7 linked regions of the Macaca fascicularis genome follow. The protein of the gene in region 6 interacts with the protein of the main gene of each other region in a biochemical or structural test. Links are inferred from orthologs where the notes say so. Each region holds a gene or a part of one and is shown on either strand. Other genes may lie near its edges. The genes, in order: KCNA1, LRP2, KCNA4, CYSLTR2, NET1, DLG4 and KCNA5.

What was found.
Region 1: the proteins of DLG4 (region 6) and KCNA1 form a complex in vitro, tested with the Homo sapiens proteins (3 studies listed by BioGRID and IntAct, with this or other methods). The link is inferred for Macaca fascicularis from reciprocal best matches to the Homo sapiens genes DLG4 and KCNA1.
Region 2: the proteins of DLG4 (region 6) and LRP2 form a complex in vitro, tested with the Homo sapiens proteins (2 studies listed by BioGRID and IntAct, with this or other methods). The link is inferred for Macaca fascicularis from reciprocal best matches to the Homo sapiens genes DLG4 and LRP2.
Region 3: the proteins of DLG4 (region 6) and KCNA4 form a complex in vitro, tested with the Homo sapiens proteins (8 studies listed by BioGRID and IntAct, with this or other methods). The link is inferred for Macaca fascicularis from reciprocal best matches to the Homo sapiens genes DLG4 and KCNA4.
Region 4: the proteins of DLG4 (region 6) and CYSLTR2 interact in a biophysical measurement, tested with the Homo sapiens proteins (2 studies listed by IntAct, with this or other methods). The link is inferred for Macaca fascicularis from reciprocal best matches to the Homo sapiens genes DLG4 and CYSLTR2.
Region 5: the proteins of DLG4 (region 6) and NET1 interact in a biophysical measurement, tested with the Homo sapiens proteins (2 studies listed by IntAct, with this or other methods). The link is inferred for Macaca fascicularis from reciprocal best matches to the Homo sapiens genes DLG4 and NET1.
Region 7: the proteins of DLG4 (region 6) and KCNA5 form a complex in vitro, tested with the Homo sapiens proteins (2 studies listed by BioGRID and IntAct, with this or other methods). The link is inferred for Macaca fascicularis from reciprocal best matches to the Homo sapiens genes DLG4 and KCNA5.

Annotation. Positions count from the first base shown.
Region 1 is NC_088385.1:5,789,115-5,793,347, forward strand, and holds the start of KCNA1 (potassium voltage-gated channel subfamily A member 1), read left to right. Parts: upstream 1-1,433; 5' UTR 1,434-2,001; intron 2,002-2,367; 5' UTR 2,368-2,916; coding exon 2,917-4,233. UniProt on the Homo sapiens protein: Voltage-gated potassium channel that mediates transmembrane potassium transport in excitable membranes, primarily in the brain and the central nervous system, but also in the kidney.
Region 2 is NC_088386.1:64,769,324-64,772,823, reverse strand, and holds part of LRP2 (low-density lipoprotein receptor-related protein 2), read left to right. Parts: coding exon 1-271; intron 272-1,318; coding exon 1,319-1,522; intron 1,523-2,410; coding exon 2,411-2,653; intron 2,654-3,500. UniProt on the Homo sapiens protein: Multiligand endocytic receptor. Acts together with CUBN to mediate endocytosis of high-density lipoproteins. Mediates receptor-mediated uptake of polybasic drugs such as aprotinin, aminoglycosides and polymyxin B.
Region 3 is NC_088388.1:35,540,402-35,544,481, forward strand, and holds the start of KCNA4 (potassium voltage-gated channel subfamily A member 4), read left to right. Parts: upstream 1-1,280; 5' UTR 1,281-1,693; intron 1,694-1,890; exon of another isoform or gene 1,891-2,185; intron 2,186-4,080. UniProt on the Homo sapiens protein: Voltage-gated potassium channel that mediates transmembrane potassium transport in excitable membranes. Forms tetrameric potassium-selective channels through which potassium ions pass in accordance with their electrochemical gradient.
Region 4 is NC_088391.1:27,793,166-27,797,182, reverse strand, and holds the start of CYSLTR2 (cysteinyl leukotriene receptor 2), read right to left. Parts: upstream 2,801-4,017; 5' UTR 2,713-2,800; intron 1-2,712. UniProt on the Homo sapiens protein: Receptor for cysteinyl leukotrienes. The response is mediated via a G-protein that activates a phosphatidylinositol-calcium second messenger system.
Region 5 is NC_088383.1:6,348,167-6,352,314, reverse strand, and holds the start of NET1 (neuroepithelial cell-transforming gene 1 protein), read right to left. Parts: upstream 2,801-4,148; 5' UTR 2,665-2,800; coding exon 2,537-2,664; intron 1-2,536. UniProt on the Homo sapiens protein: Acts as a guanine nucleotide exchange factor (GEF) for RhoA GTPase. May be involved in activation of the SAPK/JNK pathway Stimulates genotoxic stress-induced RHOB activity in breast cancer cells leading to their cell death.
Region 6 is NC_088390.1:7,237,284-7,240,423, reverse strand, and holds the end of DLG4 (disks large homolog 4), read left to right. Parts: intron 1-379; coding exon 380-489; intron 490-1,056; coding exon 1,057-1,148; intron 1,149-1,712; coding exon 1,713-1,819; 3' UTR 1,820-2,640; downstream 2,641-3,140. UniProt on the Homo sapiens protein: Postsynaptic scaffolding protein that plays a critical role in synaptogenesis and synaptic plasticity by providing a platform for the postsynaptic clustering of crucial synaptic proteins.
Region 7 is NC_088385.1:5,921,385-5,925,361, forward strand, and holds KCNA5 (potassium voltage-gated channel subfamily A member 5), read left to right. Parts: upstream 1-1,177; 5' UTR 1,178-1,292; coding exon 1,293-3,110; 3' UTR 3,111-3,910; downstream 3,911-3,977. UniProt on the Homo sapiens protein: Voltage-gated potassium channel that mediates transmembrane potassium transport in excitable membranes. Forms tetrameric potassium-selective channels through which potassium ions pass in accordance with their electrochemical gradient.

The sequences.
Region 1 (4,233 bases), on a different chromosome or scaffold from region 6:
TTGCATTAGAGCAGCAGTGCAGAAAGGTAGGGATCCCTGGAGCTATTGAGATTGAAGGATATGCGTGTGGAAGGTGGGAAAAGGGCAGAGTTCAACATGGGAAGGAGGAGTATAAGATAACTCATTGTTCATGAAAGAAAAGCTGGGGTATGGATCTGAAGGAGGGGACGGAACATACACTTTTGTTTTTCTGAAGGGAATGCTGGCGTCTGAATCTGGAGGAAGGATTTAACTAGTTCCAGACAGGGACTGTTGCACTGCCTGGGCAATCCCGCAGAGGCCCCTGCTTTCCACTAGCCACAATAGAGCGGGGAGGATGCAATCATTGGCTTTGATTAAGGAGGTGGGTGGTGTAGGCGGGAGGCAACAGTGGTGAGAAGGGTGGTCCCAAGGCCGAGGGAGGAGCCAATCAGCGGCGACTCTGGGCTCTTGCAGCCTCCTTAGAGACTCCACAGCCCTGGAAGTACCAAACTGCCGGCAGCCTTTTCTCGAGCTGCAGGCGCGGAGACTCAGCGCCTCTGGGGGCGCAGCTCCAGCCGCACTCGCAGGGCACGGCGCACGCCCCCAGCTCCTGCTGCCATGCGCCTCTGCGGGGGACCCTTTCCGAATAAATTGCAAGCTTTGAAAGTGGCCTTGTGGAGGCACTAGGCTGGGGAAAGAGGCTACGGGAGGAGGGGCATAGGGTGGGAGGTGAGTAGGCGACTTGCTTCTCAGATTATTCCCAATTAGCACCAAGTTGGCAGACAACCCCACAAACCCACGAAGCCTTCGGTCCCCCACAAGTCACATTCTCTGTATTTCAGAATAATCGGATTGTAAGAAAACTTCAAGTCCCATCGTAGGTTAAAGAGGGACAGGCTCTTAGCACCATCGCCGCCTAGTAAAACTACATGGAACAAACCCAGGGATCCTCAACTGCACAGCTCTGCCTAAAGTCTGCAGCTCTGAGAGTCCAGCCGGCGGGGGGAAGCTGGGAGGGCCCCGCAGAGAGCAAGGGCCTTCTTGGGGGAGGAGCGGAATGGGGCGCAGAGCAGTGCGATCGAAGAGGGTTACTGTGGGACTGCACAAAAGCAAACCCATTGGAGGAGTTTTGCCAGAAACACCACCGCCTGCATTGCGTCGGACCTGACCATTTCCAATGTGAAATTCCCGGGGAAGGTCGCGAGCCGCCAGGGGCCGTGCGTGGGCGGGGCGGTGGGCCACAAGGGAAGTAGAGTTAGTGGTCGGCTTTTCTGGTAGGAGAGGAAAAAGCTGTGCTGGCAAGGGTGGGAACTGAATGACAACCCCGCTCTCTTCCAAACCACCCCCTCATATTTTCCATCCACCTCCTCGCGCCTGCCCTCCCCCGCCCTCCCCAACCCACGCCCGGGTGGGCCAATCGCTGCTCTGTATTCCAGGCGCTTTCTCAGGTTTCTGCTGATCTTGCAGCGCCCAGAAATGGACCGAGCGGACCCGCCGCCGCACGCACCCTGCTCCACTCCGAGCTCCTGAGGGCTCCCGGCGCGCCGCGTAGCCTTGGCGAGGTCCGCGCTGGGGTGCGGCGAGCGAAGGGAACTGGAGAGCCATGTAGATCCAGGCTCTTGCCCGCCCGCCTCCTTCGGGATCGAATCAAGGGCTCCCATAGTGTTAGGAGGGGGCGAGAGTGCTGTTTATCGTCATTTGCCTCTGAGCTTCGGGAAAGAGTGATATTTTGCTTTTCCGCCCCGCATCCTCCGGAACTCCCTGCACCGGAGAGAGGACGGCGTCTCCAGGTTGCTGGCAACCGGTGAGAATGGGGGTAGGGAATGAACATTTTCGCCGTAGCTCCTCGGTAAAGCGATTGTCCAACTGAGAGGGGCGTCGGACGAGCGGACCAGGGCGGCGAGTTTGCCCGGCGCGTCTCGGATGCTGCTGCGGCGGCCGCCGCGGCTCCCGCCAGGGCACTGCAAAGGCGACCTGCCGCATTCCCACGCGGGCTCTCCGCCGACTCAGCACCGCCCCTGCGCCAAGCCGGCCGGCCAGGTAGGGGTTTCCCCAGCTCGGGGCTGCAGAAGCGGGGGTTGGGGCGACGGGGTGGGGGAGGCCGGGGGTGCGGGGATGCTGCCTGGGACCCGGAGCTTCCCCCGGCGTCTCTCGGCGCTTTTCCGATCTCTAGTTTAACGAAGTTGTAAACAGATCGGCTGTTGGGCATTGGGGAAAGTGGGATGGAAGAGCCCCAAACTTGGATTTCCGGGTGTCTGCGTGTCGTCTGTCCGTGTGTGTGTGATAGCCCTAGTAAACGTCCAGTGCTTTCCGAGCTAGAGGTCTGTGTTCTTCGGTGTCTGTAGGTCCGTCCCATCCGAATGCTTCTGATTTTCTACCCCCGTATCACTTTCTATTTCTCTGCAGCGTCCATCGATCGCCCTGGTGGGAGCTTAGAAGGCGGCAGGCGAAGAGGGGTAGGAGGGGGGAGAGCCGAGGAGAAGCAGAGGGGGTGGCAGGCATGGGGATCTGCTGAGCTGGCACTGCACCGGGTCCTAGCAAGGCTCTCGGAGGGGAGGGGAGGCCAGGGCGACCCCCGAAGCCATGGCCCAGTCCGCTAGAACGGCACTGCGTTAAGGCACCTGGGATCAGGAAGAAATATCTAAACAACAACAACAACAACAACAAAAAGCCAACAAACCCCCAAATCCAAACCCGACCCTCTGCAAAAAGCGGCACCCGGCCCGCAGGCGAGGGGGATTCCAAATTGAGTACAAGGCAGGGTGGAGGGGAAGGCAGCGAGAGGCAAAGTCGCAGATCTCCCGACCTGCTCATTTTGAAGCCCCTCCCCCTGGGCGTGAGGGAGACGCGCACTCCGGTGGGGGGGCCGCTTGGGTCCCCCCCCACCCCTGGTCCCTGGCTGTTTCCCACCCCGGGCTCTCTCCTGGCCTCCCACCCCCGCGCCCGGCTTTCACCATGACGGTGATGTCTGGGGAGAACGTGGACGAGGCTTCGGCCGCCCCGGGCCACCCCCAGGATGGCAGCTACCCCCGGCAGACCGACCACGACGACCACGAGTGCTGCGAGCGCGTGGTGATCAACATCTCCGGGCTGCGCTTCGAGACGCAGCTCAAGACCCTGGCGCAGTTCCCCAACACGCTGCTGGGCAACCCTAAGAAACGCATGCGCTACTTCGACCCCCTGAGGAACGAGTACTTCTTCGACCGCAACCGGCCCAGCTTCGACGCCATCCTCTACTACTACCAGTCGGGGGGCCGCCTGCGGAGGCCGGTCAACGTGCCCCTGGACATGTTCTCCGAGGAGATCAAGTTTTACGAGTTGGGCGAGGAGGCCATGGAGAAGTTCCGGGAGGACGAGGGCTTCATCAAGGAGGAGGAGCGTCCTCTACCCGAGAAGGAGTACCAGCGCCAGGTGTGGCTGCTCTTCGAGTACCCCGAGAGTTCGGGGCCCGCCAGGGTCATTGCCATCGTCTCCGTCATGGTCATCCTCATCTCCATCGTCATCTTTTGCCTGGAGACGCTCCCCGAGCTGAAGGATGACAAGGACTTCACGGGCACCGTCCACCGCATCGACAACACCACGGTCATCTACAATTCCAACATCTTCACGGACCCCTTCTTCATCGTGGAAACGCTGTGTATCATCTGGTTCTCCTTCGAGCTGGTGGTGCGCTTCTTCGCCTGCCCCAGCAAGACGGACTTCTTCAAAAACATCATGAACTTCATCGACATTGTGGCCATCATTCCTTATTTCATCACCCTGGGCACCGAGATAGCTGAGCAGGAAGGAAACCAGAAGGGCGAGCAGGCCACCTCGCTGGCCATCCTCAGGGTCATCCGCTTGGTAAGGGTTTTTAGAATCTTCAAGCTCTCCCGCCACTCTAAGGGCCTCCAGATCCTGGGCCAGACCCTCAAAGCTAGTATGAGAGAGCTAGGGCTGCTCATCTTTTTCCTCTTCATCGGCGTCATCCTGTTTTCTAGTGCAGTGTACTTTGCCGAGGCGGAAGAAGCTGAGTCGCACTTCTCCAGTATCCCCGATGCTTTCTGGTGGGCGGTGGTGTCCATGACCACTGTAGGATACGGTGACATGTACCCTGTGACAATTGGAGGCAAGATCGTGGGCTCCTTGTGTGCCATCGCTGGTGTGCTGACAATTGCCCTGCCCGTACCTGTCATTGTGTCCAATTTCAACTATTTCTACCACCGAGAAACTGAGGGGGAAGAGCAGGCTCAGTTGCTCCACGTCAGTTCCCCTAACTTAGCCTCTGACAGT
Region 2 (3,500 bases), on a different chromosome or scaffold from region 6:
ACTCTGACGGGCATGGATCGTGAAGTCATTGTCAATGCAGCCGTTCATGCTTTCGGCTTGACTCTCTATGGCCAGTATATTTACTGGACTGACTTGTACACACAAAGAATTTACCGAGCTAACAAATATGACGGGTCAGGTCAGATTGCAATGACCACAAATTTGCTCTCCCAGCCCAGGGGAATCAACACTGTTGTGAAGAACCAGAAAGAACAGTGTAACAATCCTTGTGAACAGTTTAATGGGGGCTGCAGCCATATCTGTGCACCAGGTAAGGCATTGACCATGAAAATTAAAACATGGAGAATAATGATCACAATACAATTGGTAAGGAAGGCTGAAGTTCTCACAGGAGAAAAAAAATTCAAATTCTCCTTGATTTCAGGGTAATTTATAAAATAGACCTGGGACTATATTTTGAGAAGAAGACTTGGCAGGCTTCCTTTCTATTCTATATGGAGCCCTTTTATGAAAGCATTTTATTTTATTTTATTTTATTTTATTTTATTTTATTTTTGAGATGGAGTCTCACTCTGTCGCCCAGGCTGGAGTGCAGTGGCAGGATCTCGGCTCACTGCAGCCTCCACCTCCCGAGTTCATGCAATTCTCCTGCCTCAGCCTCCCTAGTAGCTGGGACTACAGGCGTACACCACCATGTCCAGCTAATTTTTGTATTTTTAGTAGAGATGGGGCTTCACCATGTTGGCCAGGCTAGTCTCAAACTCTTGGCCTCAAGTGATCCGCCCACCTCGGCTTCCCAAAGTGCTGGGATTACAGGTGTGAGCCACAGTGCTCAGCTTATGAAGGCATTTTAAATACAAGCTTGATGGAGTTAGAAAGAAAGATGAAGGGCTTGGCTGCCCAGCTTCATGTCTTGACTAGGAATTCTGTCAATGAGCTTGCCTTCCTTATAAAAGGATGTACATTTTCTGCTTAAGAGGTATTATTTATAGTTTGAAATATTTCTGGTGGTATTTGCGGGTGGGATCATATGTGCTTCATTGTGCATTTTATAAAGAACAGCAAATTCATGGGAAGATGTGCCTTTTGATGTTGTTGCTTTGCAAATTTTGCTGAGAAGAGACGTTGATATTTCCTGTTGTTTAGAAGGAATCGGCACATTTATTAGAAATTGGTGATTGCTCTTCTTGATGGAAAAGTAACTCAGAATATAGTTAAAAGGTTAATGGGCAGAATTTCCATGGCTTGTCTTAGGGAGCATTTAATGTAGAAGCTGTTGCAAGTGCTATTGTGTAGGGGACAATGTGAACGGTGGCTGCATCCATCTTTTGCTTCTTCTGGGATTATCTTTCTTCAGGTCCAAATGGTGCTGAGTGCCAGTGTCCACATGAGGGCAACTGGTATTTGGCCAATAACAGGAAGCACTGCATTGTGGACAATGGTGAACGATGTGGTGCATCTTCCTTCACCTGCTCCAATGGGCGCTGCATCTCGAAAGAGTGGAAGTGTGATAATGACAACGACTGTGGGGACGGCAGTGATGAGATGGAAAGTGTCTGTGGTGAGTTGGGCTCTTGGCGCTTTTGGTAGGAGCTAATGGCATCTTGATGTCAAGTGTTTGGTACGGAATCCAGCTGTGTGTGAATGGGTTCGAACTGTGTGCCTAGGCATCCTGGTAGAGCTGAAACATGTTTGCTCTTATAATCCAGACTGTTTCTGTTAAATCACCCCTGTAGTGGTTAAGAGCATGAGCACAGTCATCATCCTGGTGATTGTATTTTGTAATCTGTATAGCCCTGGGAAAGTTACTTAATATCTCAAGCCTCAGATGTCTCATCTGTAAAATGGAGCTACTACTAGGGTTCTTGTGAGGAGTAAGAGAAACAATATGTAAAAAACCCTTAGCATGAGACATGGTGCATGCTAAGCCTGGCTTAGCTTGGGACTAAGGAAATGTATCATTTTTACTAATTTTCATAGCACAAAGGTCATTATTTCAATAATTTTATGAAAATAACTTCCAATCCTCAGCTTCCATCTGAATAGAGTGAGTAAAACACAGTGGACTTTCTCAGGGAGTTCTGAGGTTGGTTACCTTTTCCTAGCAGACTGTGATAGGGGCTAGGAGTTTTTATTTTCCTGAAATAAACTATAATTGCTTGCTTTTCTGTGATTTAGATAAATTGAGATTATCGAGAGAATGACTTTGATTTGTGCTGAAATTACTTGATTTGTACATAAAACAATTTATTTAAAAAAGGTATGCAACATATTTTGCTTAATCTAACTAATTAAAAGTGTTATCTCACTTTGCATGCAGTCCGTTTTGCAGCGTTTTTTGCCTTGGAAGGTAAATTCAAAGTGTCCCTTTTATTTAATTGTATCTTTTTAAAAATTAGGATAATGCTTTAATCAAGAGGGTTTGTTCTCATGTTTTTCCTCTTCTTAGCACTTCACACCTGCTCACCGACAGCCTTCACCTGTGCCAATGGGCGATGTGTCCAATACTCTTACCGCTGTGATTACTACAATGACTGTGGTGATGGCAGTGATGAGGCAGGGTGCCTGTTCAGGGACTGCAATGCCACCACGGAGTTTATGTGCAATAATAGAAGGTGCATACCTCGTGAGTTTGTCTGCAATGGTGTAGACAACTGCCATGATAATAACACTTCAGATGAGAAAAATTGCCGTAAGTTTATCTTAAGTGCTTATTGTGATTTTGGGTCTGAAGTCTTGGATCATGGGAGATGAAATTATTATATAAAAACAAAGGCTTTCCAAAAAAGATAAAACCGAAGTATTTATCTAAGATGTAAATTTTTGGCTAGGCACGGTAGCAAGTATCAACAACTACCAATCTTGTTTCATTTTTCTCTCCTTTTTTCTAGTATTTTAAAGTGACTCCTAGACATGCACTTCACTGATAATATTTTGGAAAACAACTACTATGCTGTTATAATGCCTGGCAAAATCAACAGTACTTACTTAATATCCCTGAGTACCTAGTCCATGTTCAGATTTTGTCGCTTATCCCCAAAATGTATTTTTACTGTTACTCTGTTCAAGTTAGGGTTCAGATGAGATCTACATATTGATTTTGATTGTTATAATTCTTCAATTTCTTTTATGCCACAACACTTCCCACTTTTTAATGTCATTGATTCATTAGAAAGATTGGGTGATTTGTCCTGTAGAATATCTCACATTCTGGATTTGACTAATTGCATAATTGATCCATTTAATTTATCTTATCCCTCTTATTTCCTATGAACTGGTATTTAGACCTAGAGTTTTGATCGTAACAGGTGCAATTCTTTGGGTAAGAGTGTTTCAGAGGTGGAGCTGTGCGTTTCCTGTTGCATCACCTCATGAGGCACATGATGTTGGGTTGCCCCACTTTAAGTGGATTCTGGCGTCAGCCTGAATCTTCTCTTATGAAACTCCCATCCTCCTTTCACCCAATGGTTTTAACATCTATGGGTAGTTGTTCCATAAACCCATTATTTCTTTAAGGGTTATGAAATGGGCACTTTAAA
Region 3 (4,080 bases), on a different chromosome or scaffold from region 6:
AGCATGAAAAGCCCAAGAAGCTATTAACCAGAAGTTTCCGCTTTAGGGGACGAGGGACTTGTCCCAGGCCCTGGCATGCACAGCTAGGTTTAACTTTCAATTCACAGTGACCTTTTCCTTAATTTAATGCAAACAATCACGCCCAGACGTGGAGATTTAAGATGCTAATGATACATACGTCCTGTGAAGAAGCATGTTAAACCACTATGCATGCACCAGAAAAACTCCACCTCTACATGCCCTGCCTATAGTTCCCCTTATTTCCCCTTACGGCAGAGGCCCGTAAAGGAAACCACACCCTGACTTCGAGGAACAGCCCACTTTTTTTTTTCTTGGTGTTAGCTCCCTTGTGCGCACAAGCTTTAATTAAAAGAAAGAAAGAAAAATCAAAAAAACTTGTATTTTGCTGCGATCTCCCTTGATTTCTATCCCGAAGGATCCAAAGAGCCCTCAGGGAGTCGGTACCAGAGGCGTATTTCTTTTTGCAGCAACAGGTTGGCTGCGTGCTCTTCCCCCGCCTTCCAAAGCCCCCAGCCCCTGGCCCACCCAGCCACTTACTCATCTCTCCAACCCTCCTCCCCTAGGACTGCTGCCTCCCGTGCGCAGCCCCTAGCTTGGGCCTGATTCCAATTTCTGTAACATTCCCCTGCCCGGGGTTGAACACAGGTTGAAAGTCGGTCTCCTCCGCGCCCCGGAGGCCCAACCCCGGCGCTGAAGCCGCTCAACTACTGTGTACAAGGGAGGCGGAGACTGAGGGATCTGCACGCGCTGGCAGGCACAGGAGGGCTCCCCGCCAGCGGCCTCGCCGGAGATGCACCCGCCTCCCAACCCAACAAACCCGCTTTGGGAGGGGGTGGGGTGGGGAAAAGAAGACGGGGCTAGAGGGGAGATATAGAGAAAGCAAGTTAGGGAGAGGAGATGTCCCAAAGGACCCCATTTTCGGGACTGCACCTCCCATTGGAGCTCCCCGCTCCCAAGCCCTCTGGGGACTCCCGCGCTGCCGTCGAAACCCCTATTCCGGCCCCAACGGGGACACTTCTCCAGGATTTGCTCCTCGCCTCTGGGGACCAGAGCCAAAGACTCCTGGAATTGATCCCAGATCCTGGGAGTCGGGGGGCCCAGCCGGGGTGCGGGGAGTCGCGGCGTCGTGACTGCGCCCGCCCCGCCGCGCCAGGAGGCGCCCCTGGCGACCGTCGCGAACGCCACACCCTCGGCTCGGCCCTGGCCCCGCCCCCGCCCGGCGCGCGTTCGCGGCCAGGGGAGGCGTGTGCTGCTCCCGCAGCCAGCGAGAGCCAGAGAGGGATGGATGTTGGAGGAGGAATTCGGGCTTAACAAGTGATCGCTGCTGTCTAGGATTTTGTTTCTTTTCGGAGGAACCTTGACTTCCTTTCCCAGGCAATCCCTCCTGTGCTGAACTCCAGAGGAACCAGGAGCCTTGGGGTCTTCTCTGGGGCAGCCCCGACCCCCACCCCCAGACTCCAGCCGCGAGAACCCTGTGCACCCCCCGGGCCAGGCAACAGAACTTGTTCCGTGGATATTTGGACCCTCCACCTGCCAAACCCGAGTGATTCCTTTTACCACCCCCCTCACCCAAGATCATTCTTCCCCTCCTCCAGCTGTTGCAGCTTGAGGGGGAAAAACAAGCCAGCCGGTGGATTTTCTTTATTTTTATTTTTCGCCCCGCCGGGGAACGGTAAGTATGATACCTTTTTTTTTTTTTTTTTTAAATATTTCCTCCACCTTCTTCTTTTGGCTGTTAAGAAACAGTGGACATTTGAGGGATAAATAATATCGGGAATGTGACAGAAGGGCATGAATGGAAGGCGGTTAAAAATAAACCAGGAGGTGGGAGAAGGGAGGTGCGGATGCTGCGCGGCGCTCCAGGGGGCCAACAGTTGTTATTTTCCCAACCCCGGGGATGCGGTGAGTGCGCCCTGCTTAACGTGCTGGAGCGGGAACCGAGGTCTGGAGGCGACGGCGCGATTAAAGATGTCGTTTCCCAACGAGAGGGGGGTTAAGATTTAGCATCGTTTCACCTCCTTCCAGCCGCACCGGTTAACAGCCGGTGAACGAGTCTGAATTGCTGCCTCTCCCAACGTTTGGATTTGCGTGCATTTTCCGAGCATTTGAGCAACATACATAGGGGCTGCATAAATGGCGTGCGTTGAAGTGTATATTTCTCACGGTATTGGCTTCTCTGATTCCCTCTCTCAATTTTTCTTCTCTCTCTCTCTCTCTCTCTCTCTCTCTCTAAGGTTCGGGTACCACCCTGACACTGACACAGTTGCAGGAATTAGCACTGAGAGACGAACAGCCTTGTTGTTGGAGGGGTGAGAGGAGGAGGGGTGGGATGCTTGGCTGTTGTTTGGGGGCGCCGGGATTGGGGAATAGGTAGTCTGCAAAATCCTATTAGTTTAATGGTGTTAAAGAAGAAGACAAATTCCTCTGCAAAGATCTATATCATAAAGGCTCCTGGAAATTGGCTTGAATAGATTCTACTAACAAGAGTACCCTGAGAAAGAAGAGAGATTTTAAACCAGTCTGATTTGCTGGGAGGAATGATTTTTCTTTTCTCTTCTTTTTCTTTCTCTCTCCTTTTCTAGATCAGGGATAGTGAAATAACTAGTAGATGATTAAAAGGAAGGCAATTTGCTACTTGTAGGGTGGAGGAGGGAGTTAGATAAACAAAGACAAATAATCCCAAATAAATAAATAAATAAATGTGAAATTATTTGGTGTAGAGCAGAAAGAGGGCAGTTCTAGAACTCCCGAAGAGCTGATGGTGAATTAGAAGACTCTCTAATTTATGACCTTCTGGGAGTCAGTTGGGTGGGAGGGTAGGTGTGTGTAGTACTCAACTATACAGGAACTTGGGTTACACTGGGGCTTCATTGAAATTATAATTGTTTTGGGGGAGTTGGGGAAGAAACTGAGCAAACTCTCAGGCTATTTGGTCTGTACCAGTCTTGAAAGGATGTTGGCCTGACACTCCACGGTGAATGTCACCCCAGGATGGTTTTGTAAGTAGGGATTTAGTAACTCCTTGGGGGTAAACATTTCAGAGTATGAGATGATGTTAGGAGTAAGGCAAAGAAGGGAGATGGCATGTGAGAGGCCCTCAGTGGTGTATTTTCTGGAGTTTGTGTTGCAATCAAATGCCCTCCTTGCCCTAGGAAAATGTGTATGATTGGGAAGGGGTGTATGATTGGGAAGACCTCTGTTTGCCACTTCCATGCTTGTCACTTCATAAAATTTAGTGTGTTTAGGCTGCTAGGCTGACAGGATCAGCAAGGAGCAGCAGGTGGTCAAGAGCTGAATCCTGTTAATGGCTTCAGAAAGCCATTTCTCTTATGCTTTCCAAGTGCTTCCAGTAATAGAAGCTGGTAGATGCCCTGAATTCTGACTATCATCATTCTCTCCAGTTCTCTGGGTTACTCCCTGCATTCTTGGAAGTCCTGTTGAACAGAGTACATGGAAAAATCAAGAGGAGACAGGAGATTTGGATGGGGGCTTTTATAGGACCTGGCTGAGGAGATGAATTACCTGGATCTTGGGAGAGCAAACTAAGGAAGAAGAAGGGCCAGGAATAACAGGTGACAGAGGGAGCAGATTGGAACTGCAAGGGACATGCAATTCGGAAGTGGGAGATTGTAAATAAAAGTGGGCAGAGAGAGAGAGAGAGAGAGAGAGAGAGAGAGAGAGAGAGAGGACGAGGGATGTTAGGGATGTGGATTTTATTGAAGTGGGGGTAAGTATGATAGGCTAAGAATGAAGTTCACACAAACTGACATTTTAAAAAATAAGAGATAGCACCTTGAGCAGAGTGGAGGAGGAACCATTGAGGTGAACATGGAGCGACCGCCAAAGAGAGAAGATGGTTATTAGAGATGTGGAAACTGGCATTAGTTCCTAGCCTGTGGGTGGTAGAGAGTGTTCAGGATTCAGGGGAACAGAAAAACAATGGGGACATGAGGTAGGGAGCCAGGCAGTGCCAACTTAACGACGGCCACTGGTGAGTCTCAGGATGTACTGTATGTCCTCATGTCCCATCTTCCCCTACTTTAGTTAGTGGCCTAAGGA
Region 4 (4,017 bases), on a different chromosome or scaffold from region 6:
GTGCATAGAGCAAACTATAGAAAAGCAGAAAGGATCCTTGATTCTGGAGTACACAGGAAATCTTAATGATGCCCAAAGTAACCATCATGTATTCATGTACACAGCAATGAGTAGTACACTGAAAAAATATATCATCTTTCCTCCAAAACGGAGGCTGCTCATGTGATCCCAGGTGGATGGGAGGCAGAGTGATATAATGAATGAAACCATGTGCTTTTGAGTTAAAAGGGTCCTGGGTTTAAGTTTCAACTCTGCCTTTTAGTCTCTTTTATTACTGCAGCCCTCTGAGCTTCAAACTCTCCTCTGCCAAAGGAGCACTGGAGTGAGTACTGATGAAAAAAAAAATGGATGTGAAGTGATTAACTTGGTGCCCAACACACACAAAGAATTCAGTCAGTACTAGCTGACAATCACAATAAAATTTGTGACAATAACGTACAAAACTCAGAGAATTAAATAGCAGCCTTCTTTACGGCCAAGTAAAAGATGGGGCCATTTCATCCGGAGAAGAGCCAACCAGAAAGACATGAACAATTCTATTTACTTTCCTTTATTTTTATTACACAAGTAGTACATGTTCATGGTAAAGAAAAATTACAATGTAATACAAGCTGAAATAAACTTAAATTATGAACTTTACCACCAACCAGACATATCTAAAATTTCACATATATGCTTTTTTTCATCTTTCTTGAAATATATGAAAATATTTTTAAACAAAAATAAGCGCATTTATAATACTGTTTTATATCTTGCTTTTTTCTTATTTCCATGCCATGATCACCTTTCTTTGCCAAATAACAACATCAATGTCATCATCTAACTGGCTACAGAATAACCAATTATATAAACATTATGAAATATGTTTAACCAATTTCCCACAATAGCTATTATTTAAGTTGTAAGAATGGACCATGTGCCCTGGGCTAAACCAGATTGGACCAGTTCTGGTTCCACCTGGAAAAGATCCTATGTTCTCTCGGTCTCATCTTTACCATCTTTAAAATAAGAATTACTCCAGTTCTTAAGGCTAGTATGTGGATCAAATGAACTGATGCATGTAAACGTGTTTTGTAAAGTACTATGTGAATGTTTACATTCATTAATGAAGGTACTAAACAGGTGTTCTCCACTGAGTCAAAACAAGAAGAAATTTGATTAACATGCTGTTGGTCTCGTTGGGATGATTCCTGGCCTGCAGCAGGCTAGGAGTGCAACAGCAAATGCTTCAATGTGGTTTAGGGGCTCTGGCTCTGTTTTCAGTCCCCAATGGGAGAAACCAGAACGCAGCCCTGGCATAAACTCTGTCCACTTTCCTCCTGAGGACATGAGGTCCAGAGAAGGTAAGTGCCATGTCTATGGGGCTCCTGAAAGCCAGAGTGAGCCACCTTCTGCCTCCAAATCCAATGCCATCGATCTTCACTGTGCCCACAGTGTGTTAGTGACTGGCCAGCTATTAAATGCCCACCTTGTGTTTAATCTTGAAGATTGCAAAAGAAAGGAAGCCTGGCTGCCTTGGCAGATTCTAGCAGATATGGGCGTGATTCAGGTACATTCAGAACATACGACAGCCTCAACTTCTCTAACTTTTAACCATCGAAGCACTGGAAACAAATCCACCTCTTTAAAACATTAGTAAATCGAAACACAAGTAGATTCTCATCTCAAGAGTTTATGTGGCTGAGGTAGATAGAAATTTCTAGAAGTCTTATGTTTCCCCCCAAATTATTCTGTAATTTGCATTATGTATGTAGTGTTGAAAGGGAGATTTGATTGGATTGCCTGAAATTATACCTCCCTTTCTCCTAATACATATTACTCTCAGGTATATGTCAGAGACAGAAAAATATTTTGAATGACGTAGGTCATCTGTTTTTATGCCGACCACCTATTAGAATCACCTGAGAAGTTTCTGGAAAACAAGACAAAATACTGCAGATGACTTGCTGATCTCTAAAAGTTAAGCTTCAATTATTCTAGGGGTAATTTTCTAATCTCCTCAGAGTCAGGTGATTCTGACTTGATGTGCAGCCAGAGTTGAGAAACACTGGTTAGGGTCCCAGTGGGGTAAGGAACAGATTATATGCTCATGATCTCACATACTCTTTCACTCTCATTGTGCCTCTAAGCAAAACCATTGAAACATATGTGCTCAGATTCAACTTCTTCTACCTCTAAAACAAGACCCTGAATGAAAAAAATATATCTTATATAATAAAAGGACCCAAACTATGAAAAATAGGATAACTGCTATACAGCTAAAAATGGAGGAAGTAAAGTTCCTCAATGCAATATTATGCAGCAGCTTTAATTTATGATTACAAAGAATTCACAGCAACATGGAAAAACCATAGACTGAAATGCAGGAAATGAATATAAACGTGTCCATAGTGCAGGGACGCAACTATGAAAACTAAAGTTATATGTGCATATACACATTCACAAACACGCACACACACACACACATACACACACACACACACACGGAAAACCCCCAAAATATCAATAGAGGCTATCTTGGTGGAGAATTTGGCTTCCTTTAACATTTTTGTACTTTCACAGTATTTTTTAAACTACCATGTACATGATAGGAAAATAATATTTATAGTAGAACAAAACAAATTTACTTTTCAAAAATTACTCCTCTATTACGTGATCTTCAAGTCATGATTCTCAACACTGAATTAACAAAACAAAGATTAAAATGCCCACCTGAAGTTCTCTGTCTTTCAGCTGCCCTGGCTTCTGCTGCCTCTATCTCTTCTGCCTTTCTCCTCCAAGTAATTCGGATTGCTCATTTAAAAGAAAAGGGAAACAGCAAATTATATTTATGAACAGTGCCAACCAATAGCAAGAAAGTCAGGAAGTGTAGCAGGTCATCTGTGCTTTTTAGAAGCCAGTATAGATGTCAGTGCAAGATCTCTTCTCAAGAAGGGGGAAGATTTCCAGTTAAGGGCTACATCTAAAAAGAAGAAACCTAAAATTGCCCTGCCCCTCTAATGACTGGTTTTTGTCATTATCTTTCTCAAGAGAACAAGCGGATATAATGGGTTAGAGTCAGGGATTTTAAGTGGCTTTTAGTTCTCCTGAAAGGTTTCTGTTTCCATGGCAACAGAAATAGCAACACTGCCTTACACACACAGCACTTTAGATTTGTTTAAAGCACTTCCCTCACTCACTTATATTTTCAATTCACTTGCACTCCAGCAGAGACCTTATCCACTCTGCTGAAAATGTTCTGTCAGAGGTTACCAATAACCTTGTTGCTCACATAAAAAATCCTTTCTCAGTCCTCACCTTCCTTCCCGTCTTGTTTGCATAGTTGACCACTACCACTTTCCTGAAACTTCTTCCTTGTTTCTCTGACTTTCCTGGTTCTTTTTCTCCCCCTCAGATTGCTCTTCTTTGCCTCTCTTTCTGATGCCTCTTCTTCCATCCCTTTTCTACATGTGAGCTTTCCCCAGAGGTCTGTGTTCTGACTTCTTCCCTCCTTCTCTTGCTTTTATCTATCTGATGCACAATCATGGCCAAATTTAATGTGACCCAGATGGACCTTTTCTCTTCCCCTCTTAGTCCTGCATCCCCCCATCTACCCTGTCTAAACAGTGGCACCACAATAATTTAGCCCATCCATAAACCTAGAAGTCACTTTTAACTTCTCTCTTTCTTCCACCACCCACTTCTGAGCCAACAAGTTCCATTTGTTCTGCCCATAAAATATGTCCCAACTCCAACCATTGCTGACCTCCCCATCACTGTTCAAATCCTCATTTCCTGGATAGAAAGCTGCAGTAACATTAAGCAAGAAAAATACATAAAAGGGATCCAAATTGGAAATAAATAAGTAAAATTATATCTGTCTGCAAATGATAAAATTTTATACGTAGGAAAACCTGAAGATTCCATACACACACACACACACACACACACACACACACACACACACACACAAAACCCCAATAGAACTAATAAGCAAATTCAGCAAAGTTGCAGGATAGGAAATCAATACACAAAAAT
Region 5 (4,148 bases), on a different chromosome or scaffold from region 6:
CATTCATATGCGATGTCCAGAACACAGAAATTCCTACAGACCAACAGATTAGGTTTTGGGGCAGAAGGGGAACAACAGCTAAAGGTTATAAATGCTCTTTTTGAGGTGATGAAAATGTTCTAAGTAGTACGATTTAAGTGGGTAAATTGTACTGTACGTATTTGTCTTTCAAATTAGTTTATAGTGAGTTTTGCAGAACATTTTTTAATAGTCACACAATCATATACACAAATTTTCCTTATGATTTCTGAATCTGATACAGCCCTTAGTTGTTTCTTGCCTCACAATTAATACTATCTTGTAATATTTTACATATTCTTGTAGATGATCTTACCTCTTTTCTGGAAAAGGAATGTTAGTTATTTAATTCTCCATTTTCCCTCCATGGTTCTTCTGTGTCTCACTCTCCTCATGTTGCCTGTGTTACTACGCTTTTCTCAGAATAGATCATTTCCTACCTCACACAAAAAATAGAGGCCTGGTGGGAAAGTCCTCAAATTCCTGCTCACGACACACCCCATTCTTCAAAATTATGTACCATCCATAGCTTCTTGTTAGGCTAAATCCTCCACCTTGAATTTGGATTCTATCCTTTTCTGCCTTCTTGGATCCTTGTTCAACCATTTTTCTCCTCTACTGTCTGTTCGACCTCTCCCTCTATTTGTTAACTAAGCTCAGCACATCAAGTTTATTCTTTTTTAAGAGTCTATCCCACAAACTTGTGTTATTTCCCTCTATTCTTCTTCCTTGTCTTCCTGTTGCAGTGAGACTTCTCTTCACCAATCCCATTGCCAGCTATCAGATTTGAACAATCATCATTTTTCATTTAGACTACTGCAGACTGATTTCCTACCAATCCATCATCTAAACTTGGAAATTTTAATTTGGTATACACGGCTGAGTCCACAAATCTCCTGAAATGTTTATGTATATGAGCACGTTTTTGGGGAATAGTTTTCATAAAATATTAAGAGTGAGATGAGTCCAAAATGTTGCTTATTTTTCTCATGGAAGACAAACTGATCTTCTAAAATGCAAATATGTCATGCTATTGGCTCATTTAAAGTCTTTCAGTATTTCCCCACTACCATGAAGATAAAACCCAAACTCTGTCAAGGCATACAAGGTCTCTTCATGATGTGGCTCTTACCTCTTTAGCATAAATCTCTCATGACTACCTCCTCCTTCTCCCTATACTGGTCTCCTCTCCTCTATACAAATAGTATTGTTAATATAGTAATAAAATAGAATATACACCCAGAACTCATCAGACCCATTTGCTTCAGGGTCTTTCTACATGCCTCTCTGCCTGAAATCACCCATCTACATCTGCTCTCTAAACTGGTCCTCAAAGACTCAGGATTACAATAGGAAATCATTTCCTGTTCTCTCCAGTCAGGATTAAGTGTTCCTTTAAATCTATGGCATTCTATATTCTATAATATATAGAATTCTAATTCTATATTCTGTAATAACTTTTATCACACATTATAATTATTAACCTACTTATCTTTCTTCCCTATTAGATTATAAACCTTAAATAGTAAGAACAGTATTTTTCCATTTCCATATTCCTAGTGTTGGCACTCACATTATTTCCTGAACAAATCGCACATTCTCTTCTCAACCTGTTACAAAACACTCTAAGTTCGATATTGTAACCATTCTTGGAAACCATCTAAGATCAATACTCTCTTCTCATTACCAAATTTAATTTTCATTCCTCATCTAGCTTAATCCTCATATTTTACTTAATCCTCATTTTTATTTGACCTGTCAATAACATCTGACACAGCTCATCACGTCCTCTTGAAATCCTTTCTTCATTTGGCCTCCTGGATACTGTTCTCACTTGGTTCCCTTCCTCCTAATTCACCAGCTATCCCCTGAGCTTCGCTCTGTGAAATTTCACTGAGCCAAACACGAGTCATACACTCTCATTTCAATGTATACTTCCACAAAAAGTAAAAAGAAAAAACACGAAAATGGTTGTGATGGAAATAGGCATCTCACAACTTATCCCCTAGTCTTTTCATTCTCAGGACATGGAACCCCATTCTCGTGGTGCTCACCATGTCAGTTTCGGTCTGAGTAAAGTCATTTGGGAACTCCAGTCTACAGCCAGTTGGGTGTGGAGAACAAAACCATTGTGGCTTTTCCTAAGTCTCCCCCTGAGAAACAGTCAGGAGTAGAGGAGACTCAACAAGCCCGCCCCTTTGCCACAGGCAGGGAAAATCGCAGTTGGGAGTCTCAGGACCGACCTCAGGCCAAGGCCAGGCACACTGTCACTCCGGCCTGTGTCACCCTCATCTCCAGCGGCCCCGGTCCTCCCCCGAACCCCGCAGTCACCTTCCCCACCCCCCACTTACCTCCCAGCGGCCCTCGCCTCCCCCTGGCCCTCACCAACCCCCCCATCCCCCCCATCCCCCGCTCTCGCTGCCCCCCACACCCAACTCACGGCCAGCCCTCCCCTCCCCCCGGCCCCTGCCTCCCCAACACTCACCTCCCGTTCGGCCCTCCCCTCCCCCACACTCACCTCCCGTCCAGCTCCGGCCCAGAGGTGTCTGCCGAAGGCCCCGCCACTCCCTCCGTGCTGAGCCCAGAGGCCCGGCGGCTTCGCCTCCGCGGCCGGGGCTGTTTCTGAGCCGCCAGCTCGGGCTCCATGGCACGGAGGAGGGGGTGGGGCGGTGGCCGGGTGCCCAGAAGACCGGCAGGGACGGGCACGATGCCCGCCAGCCTCTGCCAGGCAGAAAGCGCCTGTCAGCGGACTGCAGCCGCCACCGCCGTCATCCGGGGATTTGAAAATGGCGGCTGCGCAGCGATCAGCCAATCAGTGAGCGCGCAGCGGTTCCTAGGAGACGTGGAGTCCCGCCCCTTCGCCGCTCCCGGGATCCACTTGCCTAGGAAAGAGCCTAGGAAAACTTGACATTAACTGTTGAGCGCATCCCTGAGTCCCCAAGGCCCGATACCTCCTTCATTGTTCATTAGGACTTTCACTGCAGGCCAAGGCAAATGGACTGGAAGCATTTTAAGTCATCAGATCTTTCTTAGCATTTGGGGAGAAGAGAGGTCCAAAGTAATGACCTGTAAACAAGGCTTGTTTATTGGCCATATACACACTAAATTACTGTGCACGTGGCCAATATGAGATATATTTCCAATTACCAAAGATTATACAAGTGTGTTCCCAGGGCTGTCTCTAGGAAACAGCAAAATCTAATTTTGAGCCCTGGTGTCTTCCAATAAGGATACACAGTCTCTCCTTACCAAAACGGAATGAAGTAACTTCATCCTTTGCTTGTAAAAAGTCAGCAAAAGACATAATACAAAATAAAGGACGGCCTCAAGTAAAAAAAAAAAAAAAATTGTTAAATTACACGTTCTTTGAATTTAAATATTGCTTTATATGTGTCAAAGTCTTTAAAATAGCTTCTCCTGACCGGCAGTGGTGGCTCACGCCTGTAATCCCAGCACTTTGGGAGGCCGAGGCAGGCGGATCATGAGGTCAGGAGATCAAGACCATCCTGGCCAACATGGTGAAACCCCATCGCTACTAAAATACAAAAATTAACTGGGCATGGTGGCACATGCCTGTAATCCCAGCTACTCGGGAGGCTGAGGCAGGAGAATCCCTTGAACCAAGGAGTCGGAGGTTGTAGTGAACCAAGATCATGGCACTGCACTCCAGCTCAGCGACAGAGTGAGACTCCGTCTCCAAAAAAACAAAACAAACTTCTCTTTTGGCACTATATTTCAACTTCTGGAAATTTATCCTAAAAAATAAAATTATATAAACATGAAGCTATTAATGATATTGTTTATAATAGAAACATTTAAGACAACCTAAATAAACAATGATTTACAGCTCATCCACTGAGAAGAATATTTTCAGCCAACAAAAATGAAGTGTGAAGTGTGTAATAGTATACTGGTAATTTGAAATAAAAACATGAAGTATAGAGATATATTCAGTATATTCAGTTATGAATTACAAGACATTATACAAAGGAAAAAGATAATGTCAATGTGTTAAAATGTATTAAATGTATTAAAAAATCAATGTATTAAAATGTCTCTAGGTAGTTAGACTTCAGGTATTCAAAATTTTTATTTTTTGCACTTAATTTTTTTTAAAATAAGGACATATT
Region 6 (3,140 bases):
ACTTCCTTTCTCCTTTTTCTTGGCTTTCCTTCCGGCCTGTGTCACCTCTGCCTTACACACCCCGCCCCACTCGCTGCTGCCCCGGCTCTGCCACCATCTCTTGGGTCCCTGTCTGCCTGGTGCTCCTCCCTTCCTCCATTCTGTCCTGTCCCTGCCCTCTCCCCGTGCTCTCCATCCTCCCTTTCCTTTCTCTGTCTTTTACTCTGTCCCTGCCCTCTTCCTGCCTGACTCTCTGCCCCCGTGTTTCTTGACATCCACGTCACTCCCCTTCGGCCAACCTCCCATTCCCCACCTCTCCCCGTCCCATGTCCCTCCGGCACTGCTGTCTGTCCTTTCCCGCCACCTGCTGGCCCCCTCCGCCCACCCTGCCTGCCCCCAGGGGAAGCACTGCATCCTCGATGTCTCGGCCAATGCCGTGCGGCGGCTGCAGGCGGCCCACCTGCACCCCATCGCCATCTTCATTCGCCCCCGCTCCCTGGAGAATGTGCTGTGAGTATAGTCCTGGGGGCCTCCCCTCTGCTCCCCCAACACATGTGGCCCTGGGCCTCACTAGGCCTCTGCAGTCAACTCTCCCTTCAGAACGCTGGACAGCGGTTTCAGCAACCCCAGAGGGGGATTCCTGAAACCCAGCAGAACCTGGAATCCAGGAGACCTGGAACCCAGAGGATGCGGGGAATCGGGCCTTTCCCCTCCTCTCCTGCCTTGGGCTAGACGGGACTACATCTCCCAGCAGCCCCTGGGGTATACCAGCTGGGACGAGTCAGGGCCTCCGGGGCTGTTGGGAGTTGGAGTCCGAATCCCATCTCTGGGGCTGAAGGCTGGAAGGATGAAGCTCTGGAAATGTCCCTGGAGTAGCCACACCTGGCTGGGGCGGTTGCGGGTGGGGGTCTCATCTGTGGCCCCAGAGGATACTGGGAATTGTATTTTTTTTTTTTTTTTTGCTATGTGCTCCAAATAGAAGAATACTAGTTGTAACTTAACATTCCTAGATAGAGGAGGTAAAAGGTAGGGTCAGGTGGGCCCAGTCTCAGGCCTGCTCTCCCTCCCTCTTCACAGAGAGATTAACAAGCGGATCACAGAGGAGCAAGCCCGCAAAGCCTTCGACAGAGCCACCAAGCTGGAGCAGGAGTTCACAGAGTGCTTCTCAGGTGAGGCCACAGCAAGGCTGTCGCCAGCACGTAGGGTGCCTTTGCTCGGATTAGAAAGAGCTCCCCCGCCACTCCCAGTGGATGGTTTAGAAAGAGGTGCCCCTGTGGGCATGGCATGGGGGCTTACGCCTGTAATCCCAGCACTTTGGGAGGCCAAGGCAGGTGGATCACCTGAGGTCAGGAGTTCAAGACCAACCTGGCCAACATGATGAAACCCTGTCTCTAGTAAGAATACTAAAGTTAGCAGGGCGTGGTTTCGGGCACCTGTAATCCAAGCTACTCAGGAGGCTGAGGCAGGAGAATTGCTTGAACCTGGAGGCAGAGGTTGCAGTGAACCGAGATCGCACCACTGCACTCCGGCCTAGGCACTAAGAGTGAAACTCAGTCTCAAAAAAAAAAAAAAAAAAAAAAAAAAGAGGTGCCCCTTTGGGCGGGTACAGCCTCATGGCTCATGGCTTGGAGAATTAGAAAGAGGTGCCCCTTCCTCTGGGCTGGTGCCACTCCCTTGGCCAGGTGTCCTCTGGCCCTTCCTTGGCCTTACTACCTGCTCCACCCCACTCCCAGCCATCGTGGAGGGTGACAGCTTTGAGGAGATCTACCACAAGGTGAAGCGTGTCATCGAGGACCTCTCAGGCCCCTACATCTGGGTTCCAGCCCGAGAGAGACTCTGATTCCTGCCCTGGCTTGGCCTGGACTCGCCCTGCCTCCATCACCTGGGCCCTTGGTCTGGACTGAATTGCCCAAGCCCTTGGCTCCCCCCGGCCTCCCTCCCATCCCTTCTTATTTATTTCCTTTCTAACTGGATCCAGCCTATTGGAGGGGGGACACTCCTCTGCATGTATCCCCGTACCCCAGAACTGGGCTCCTGAATGCCAGGAACCTGGGGTCTGGGTGGGGAGCTGGGCTCCTGGTTCCGAGCCCTTGCTCCTTAGGATCCCCGCCCCCGCCCGCCCCCAATGCACACACAGACCCACGGGGGCCACCTGCCCTCCCCCATCTTCTCCCACACACATTCCAGAAGTCAGGGCCCCCTCGAGGAGCACCCGCTGCAGGGATGCAGGGCCACAGGCCTCCGCTCTCTCCTGAGGCAGGGTCTGGGGTCACCCCTGCCCTCATCGCAATTCCCCATGTCCCTTGATTTCTCATTTATTTTTTCCACTTTTTTTCTTCTCAAAGGTGGTTTTTTGGGGGGAGAAGCAGGGGACTCCACCGTGGGCCCCTGCCTTCCACATGCCCCCACCTTTTTTCTTTGCCGGTTTGCATGAGTGGAAGGTCTAAATGTGGCTTTTTTTTTTTTTTTTTTTCCTGGGAATTTTTTTTGGGGAAAAGGGAGGGATGGGTCTAGGGAGTGGGAAATGCGGGAGGGAGGGTGGGGGGCAGGGGTCGGGGGTCGGGTGTCCGGGAGCCAGGGAAGACTGGAAATGCTGCCGCCTTCTGCAATTTATTTATTTTTTCTTTTGAGAGAGTGAAAGGAAGAGACAGATACTTGAAACTCGGTGTGTGGCCTGGTTATTTGGGACCTGGGTGTGGAGGGAGACGGGAGGCTGGAACTTGTCTGGGGCCCTGCAAACTTAGTCCAGCTCTGATCCCCGCTGGGCTGTCTCAGCCCTGTTGAGTAGCGTAACAGTCCCTAAAGGAAAATAGAGAGGAAACTTCATTCATTCATGTTCATGGAGTTGTGGACAGAGCTAGTCTCTGGAAATGTTTTTTTTTTTTTTTTTTGAGACAGAGTCTTACTCTGTCGCCCAGGCTGGAGTGCCATCGTGCGATCTTGGTTCACTGCAACCTCCGCCCCCTGGGTTCAAGCGGTTCTCCTGCCTCAGCTTCTCGAGTCGCTGGGATTACAGGCGCCTGCCACCACGCCTGGCTAATTTTTGTATTTATATTTTTAGTGGAGACGGGGTTTTGCCATGTTGGCCAGGCTGGTCTCAAACTCCTGACCTCAGGTGATCCACCCGGCTCAGCCTCCCACAGTGTTAAGAGTACAGGCAT
Region 7 (3,977 bases), on a different chromosome or scaffold from region 6:
TTCTTCGTTTGTAAAATGGTGATGATAACAGTACTTACAAAACAGGTTGCTGTAGGAATACGCAGAGACAATATTTGTGAAGTGCTGAGAATGGGCTGGTGCATAATAACAGCGAAGTAAGTATTGGTTGTTATTATTCCACTCTTGGGATTTCTCCAGCCTTGGAGATTGGACAGCCTCCCTGGCTCCCTCTCATAAGCCACCTCCACCCTCTGCCTCCTTCATGGACCTAGATGCAGTTGTTAGCTCCAAGATTCACCAGACAGGATTAGCCTTCACTAGGATTGTAAAAATCTCTTCTCCCCTCCCCTGGTGTGGTTTTTGCAAATGGGATTCGTTGGAGAGGGTGCAGGGGTTCTGCTGGGTTGAGACCAGACAGCCCATCTACTGACTAGGCTGCTTGCCTGGGCTGCCACTGGGTCCATACTGGAAACAGGCTAGGGCATGCGAATCCTGCAAGGTTCCAACCCTCTAGTACATTTTTGTGGAGCTGCAGGAAGACGAGAAGAGAGATGCTTCTCCATTGATATATGTATTTCAAGGTCCGAAACTACGTGGGCCCCCTCCCTTCTGTAATTCTTCCCAAAGAAATACCGTTATTTCTCCAAAATAAAAAGGACTGGTGTCTCCTGTCTCTGTCTCTCATACTCCGACTCAGCTCAAAGCCTCTTCCCTTTAGCCCAAGGCACTTCGTTCCCCCTGGAGTCCACTCGGCTTCCAGCGGGTTCCCAGGTGAACCGAAATCCAGAGCTATTCTCATCTGGTTGCCCTGGGAATTTCAGCGCTCTCGGTACAACCTGTTCCTCCATCCTCCCCACTCCTTCCCTCCCTCCGCTGGGCTGCACCCCTCTCAGCCCCTCCTTTCCCTTGCTAGGGGCACCAGCTGCGCCCTTCGGGGAGACACTGGCTGCCACAAGACCCGGGAGGGGAAGCGGGAGGAGGGGGAGGGGAAGCAGGAGGAGGGGGAAGGGAGAGGGGAAGGCGGGGGAGGCGCCGAGGGTGGAGGCCAAGCGCAGCGCAGCCAGAGAGGGACGGCTGAAGGTTGCATCTGCTGGAAGGAGGCTTTTCGGCTGCTTGGTAACGGGCTGCCAGAAGAGAGAGAGGCAGAGAGCAGGGCAGCGGCTTCTTGACGTCAGGGCCAAGCGAGGGGATCGCGCCAGCAACCCCAGCTCGCCCCAGAGAGGGGCCGGCCGACCGCGGGAGCGGAGCCTGACGGGAGGTGCCCGGGGAGCGTGAGTAGGGGGCGCGGCAGCAGGTCAGCTGGGGCGCAGCATGCCCGCTGCTCCCGCGCCATGGAGATCGCCCTGGTGCCCCTGGAGAACGGCGGTGCCATGACCGTCAGAGGAGGCGATGAGGCCCGGGCAGGCTGCGGCCAGGCCACAGGGGGAGAGCTCCAGTGTCCCCCGACGGCTGGGCTCAGCGATGGGCCCAAGGAGCCGGCGCCAAAGGGGCGCGGCGCGCAGAGAGACGCGGACCCGGGAGTGCGGCCCTTGCCTCCGCTGCCCAAGGAGCTGCCACAGCCTCGACGGCCGCCTCCCGAGGACGAGGAGGAAGAAGGCGACCCCGGCCTGGGCACGGTGGAGGACCAGGCTCTGGGCACGGCGTCCCTGCACCACCAGCGCGTCCACATCAACATCTCCGGGCTGCGCTTCGAGACGCAGCTGGGCACCCTGGCGCAGTTCCCCAACACCCTCCTGGGCGACCCCGCCAAGCGCCTGCGCTACTTCGACCCCCTGAGGAACGAGTACTTCTTCGACCGCAACCGGCCCAGCTTCGACGGTATCCTCTACTACTACCAGTCGGGGGGCCGCCTGCGGAGGCCGGTCAACGTCTCCCTGGACGTGTTCGCGGACGAGATCCGCTTCTACCAGCTGGGGGACGAGGCCATGGAGCGCTTCCGCGAGGATGAGGGTTTCATTAAAGAAGAGGAGAAGCCCCTGCCCCGCAACGAGTTTCAGCGCCAGGTGTGGCTTATCTTCGAGTATCCGGAGAGCTCTGGGTCCGCGCGGGCCATCGCCATCGTCTCGGTCTTGGTCATCCTCATCTCCATCATCACCTTCTGCTTGGAGACCCTGCCCGAGTTCAGGGATGAACGCGAGCTGCTCCGCCACCCCCCAGCGCCCCACCAGCCTCCCGCGCCCGCCCCTGGGACCAACGGCAGCGGGGTCATGGCCCCGCCCTCTGGCCCTACGGTGGCACCGCTCCTGCCCAGGACCCTGGCCGACCCCTTCTTCATCGTGGAGACCACGTGCGTCATCTGGTTCACCTTCGAGCTGCTCGTGCGCTTCTTCGCCTGCCCCAGCAAGGCAGGGTTCTCCCGGAACATCATGAACATCATCGATGTGGTGGCCATCTTCCCTTACTTCATCACCCTGGGCACCGAGCTGGCAGAGCAACAGCCAGGGGGCGGAGGAGGCAGCCAGAATGGGCAGCAGGCCATGTCCCTGGCCATCCTCAGAGTCATCCGCCTGGTCCGGGTGTTCCGCATCTTCAAGCTCTCCCGCCACTCCAAGGGGCTGCAGATCCTGGGCAAGACCTTGCAGGCCTCCATGAGGGAGCTGGGGTTGCTCATCTTCTTCCTGTTCATCGGGGTCATCCTCTTCTCCAGTGCCGTCTACTTCGCAGAGGCTGACAACCAGGGGACCCATTTCTCTAGCATCCCTGATGCCTTCTGGTGGGCAGTGGTCACCATGACCACTGTGGGCTACGGGGACATGAGGCCCATCACCGTGGGGGGCAAGATCGTGGGCTCGCTGTGTGCCATCGCCGGGGTCCTCACCATTGCCCTGCCTGTGCCCGTCATTGTCTCCAACTTCAACTACTTCTACCACCGGGAGACGGACCACGAGGAGCCGGCAGTCCTTAAGGAAGAGCAGGGCCCTCAGAGCCAGGGGCCGGGGCTGGACAGAGGAGTCCAGCGGAAGGTCCAGGAGTCCAGCGGGAGCAGGGGATCCTTCTGCAAGGCCGGGGGGACCCTGGAGAATGCAGACAGTGCCCGAAGGAGCAGCTGCCCCCTAGAGAAGTGTAACGTCAAGGCCAAGAGCAACGTGGACTTGCGGAGGTCCCTTTATGCCCTCTGCCTGGACACCAGCCGGGAAACAGATTTGTAAAAGGAGATTCAGGCAGACTGGTGGCAGTGGGGTAGGGAATGGAAGGCTTGCTGAACATGGATATTTACATTATACCGCAGAGTATTTGAAGTCACACTGTAACCTCAGTCTACCCCTCTCCTTTCACTCCTTTCCTCCCTCCCTCAATCCCCCCATTTTCTCTCTTCTTTCCATGACACCCAAGGGTCACCTATTTTTAAAAAGTACCACATTCCATGACGCAGGAGCTGTTGAAATGGTAAGCGCTGTGAGATGGATGTATTTGTAGCCAGTCTCCTATACCCCGCAGAGGGATAACCCAAACAAAAATGACTCTAAATAGCCCAGATCCCAAGAGATTACGTAACTCCTCCATCCATGTGTTCCAAATTTGCTTTACATATGATTACATTTGTGTATAGGGGAAAATATTATTTTTATGCCTGGTAAGTGGCTTTTTGTACTGTAGTTTAGATAGAGATATTTTGGATATATTTTCAAGATACATGTTGTATTTATGGAAGAAAGAGTTGCCCTGATGTTTTTCTGTGATACTTATATTAGAGCCAGAGATCTTGGTATGGGCTGTTCTGGTTCCTGTGTCTCCAAGCCTCTGTCTTTTCCGGGATGTGGTATTGGTGCTTTGTGTCTAGGGCAGAGAATGTTCTTGAAGAAAGGCAAATCTGACTTTTTCTGTGCGCCTTAAACAATTCTTGTAACTTTCTTCAAAAAGCATTTGAATGATATTGGAGGAATACTTCTGATAATTTATTCTCTTTATTTTTAATCCCAGGAAATAAAAGGTTACCTTGTTGAGGCAAGTGTTAGTTTTTCTGCAGCTGATATGTTTTCTGACATTTTAAAAAATAGTCTGTCACTGTCTGTTTC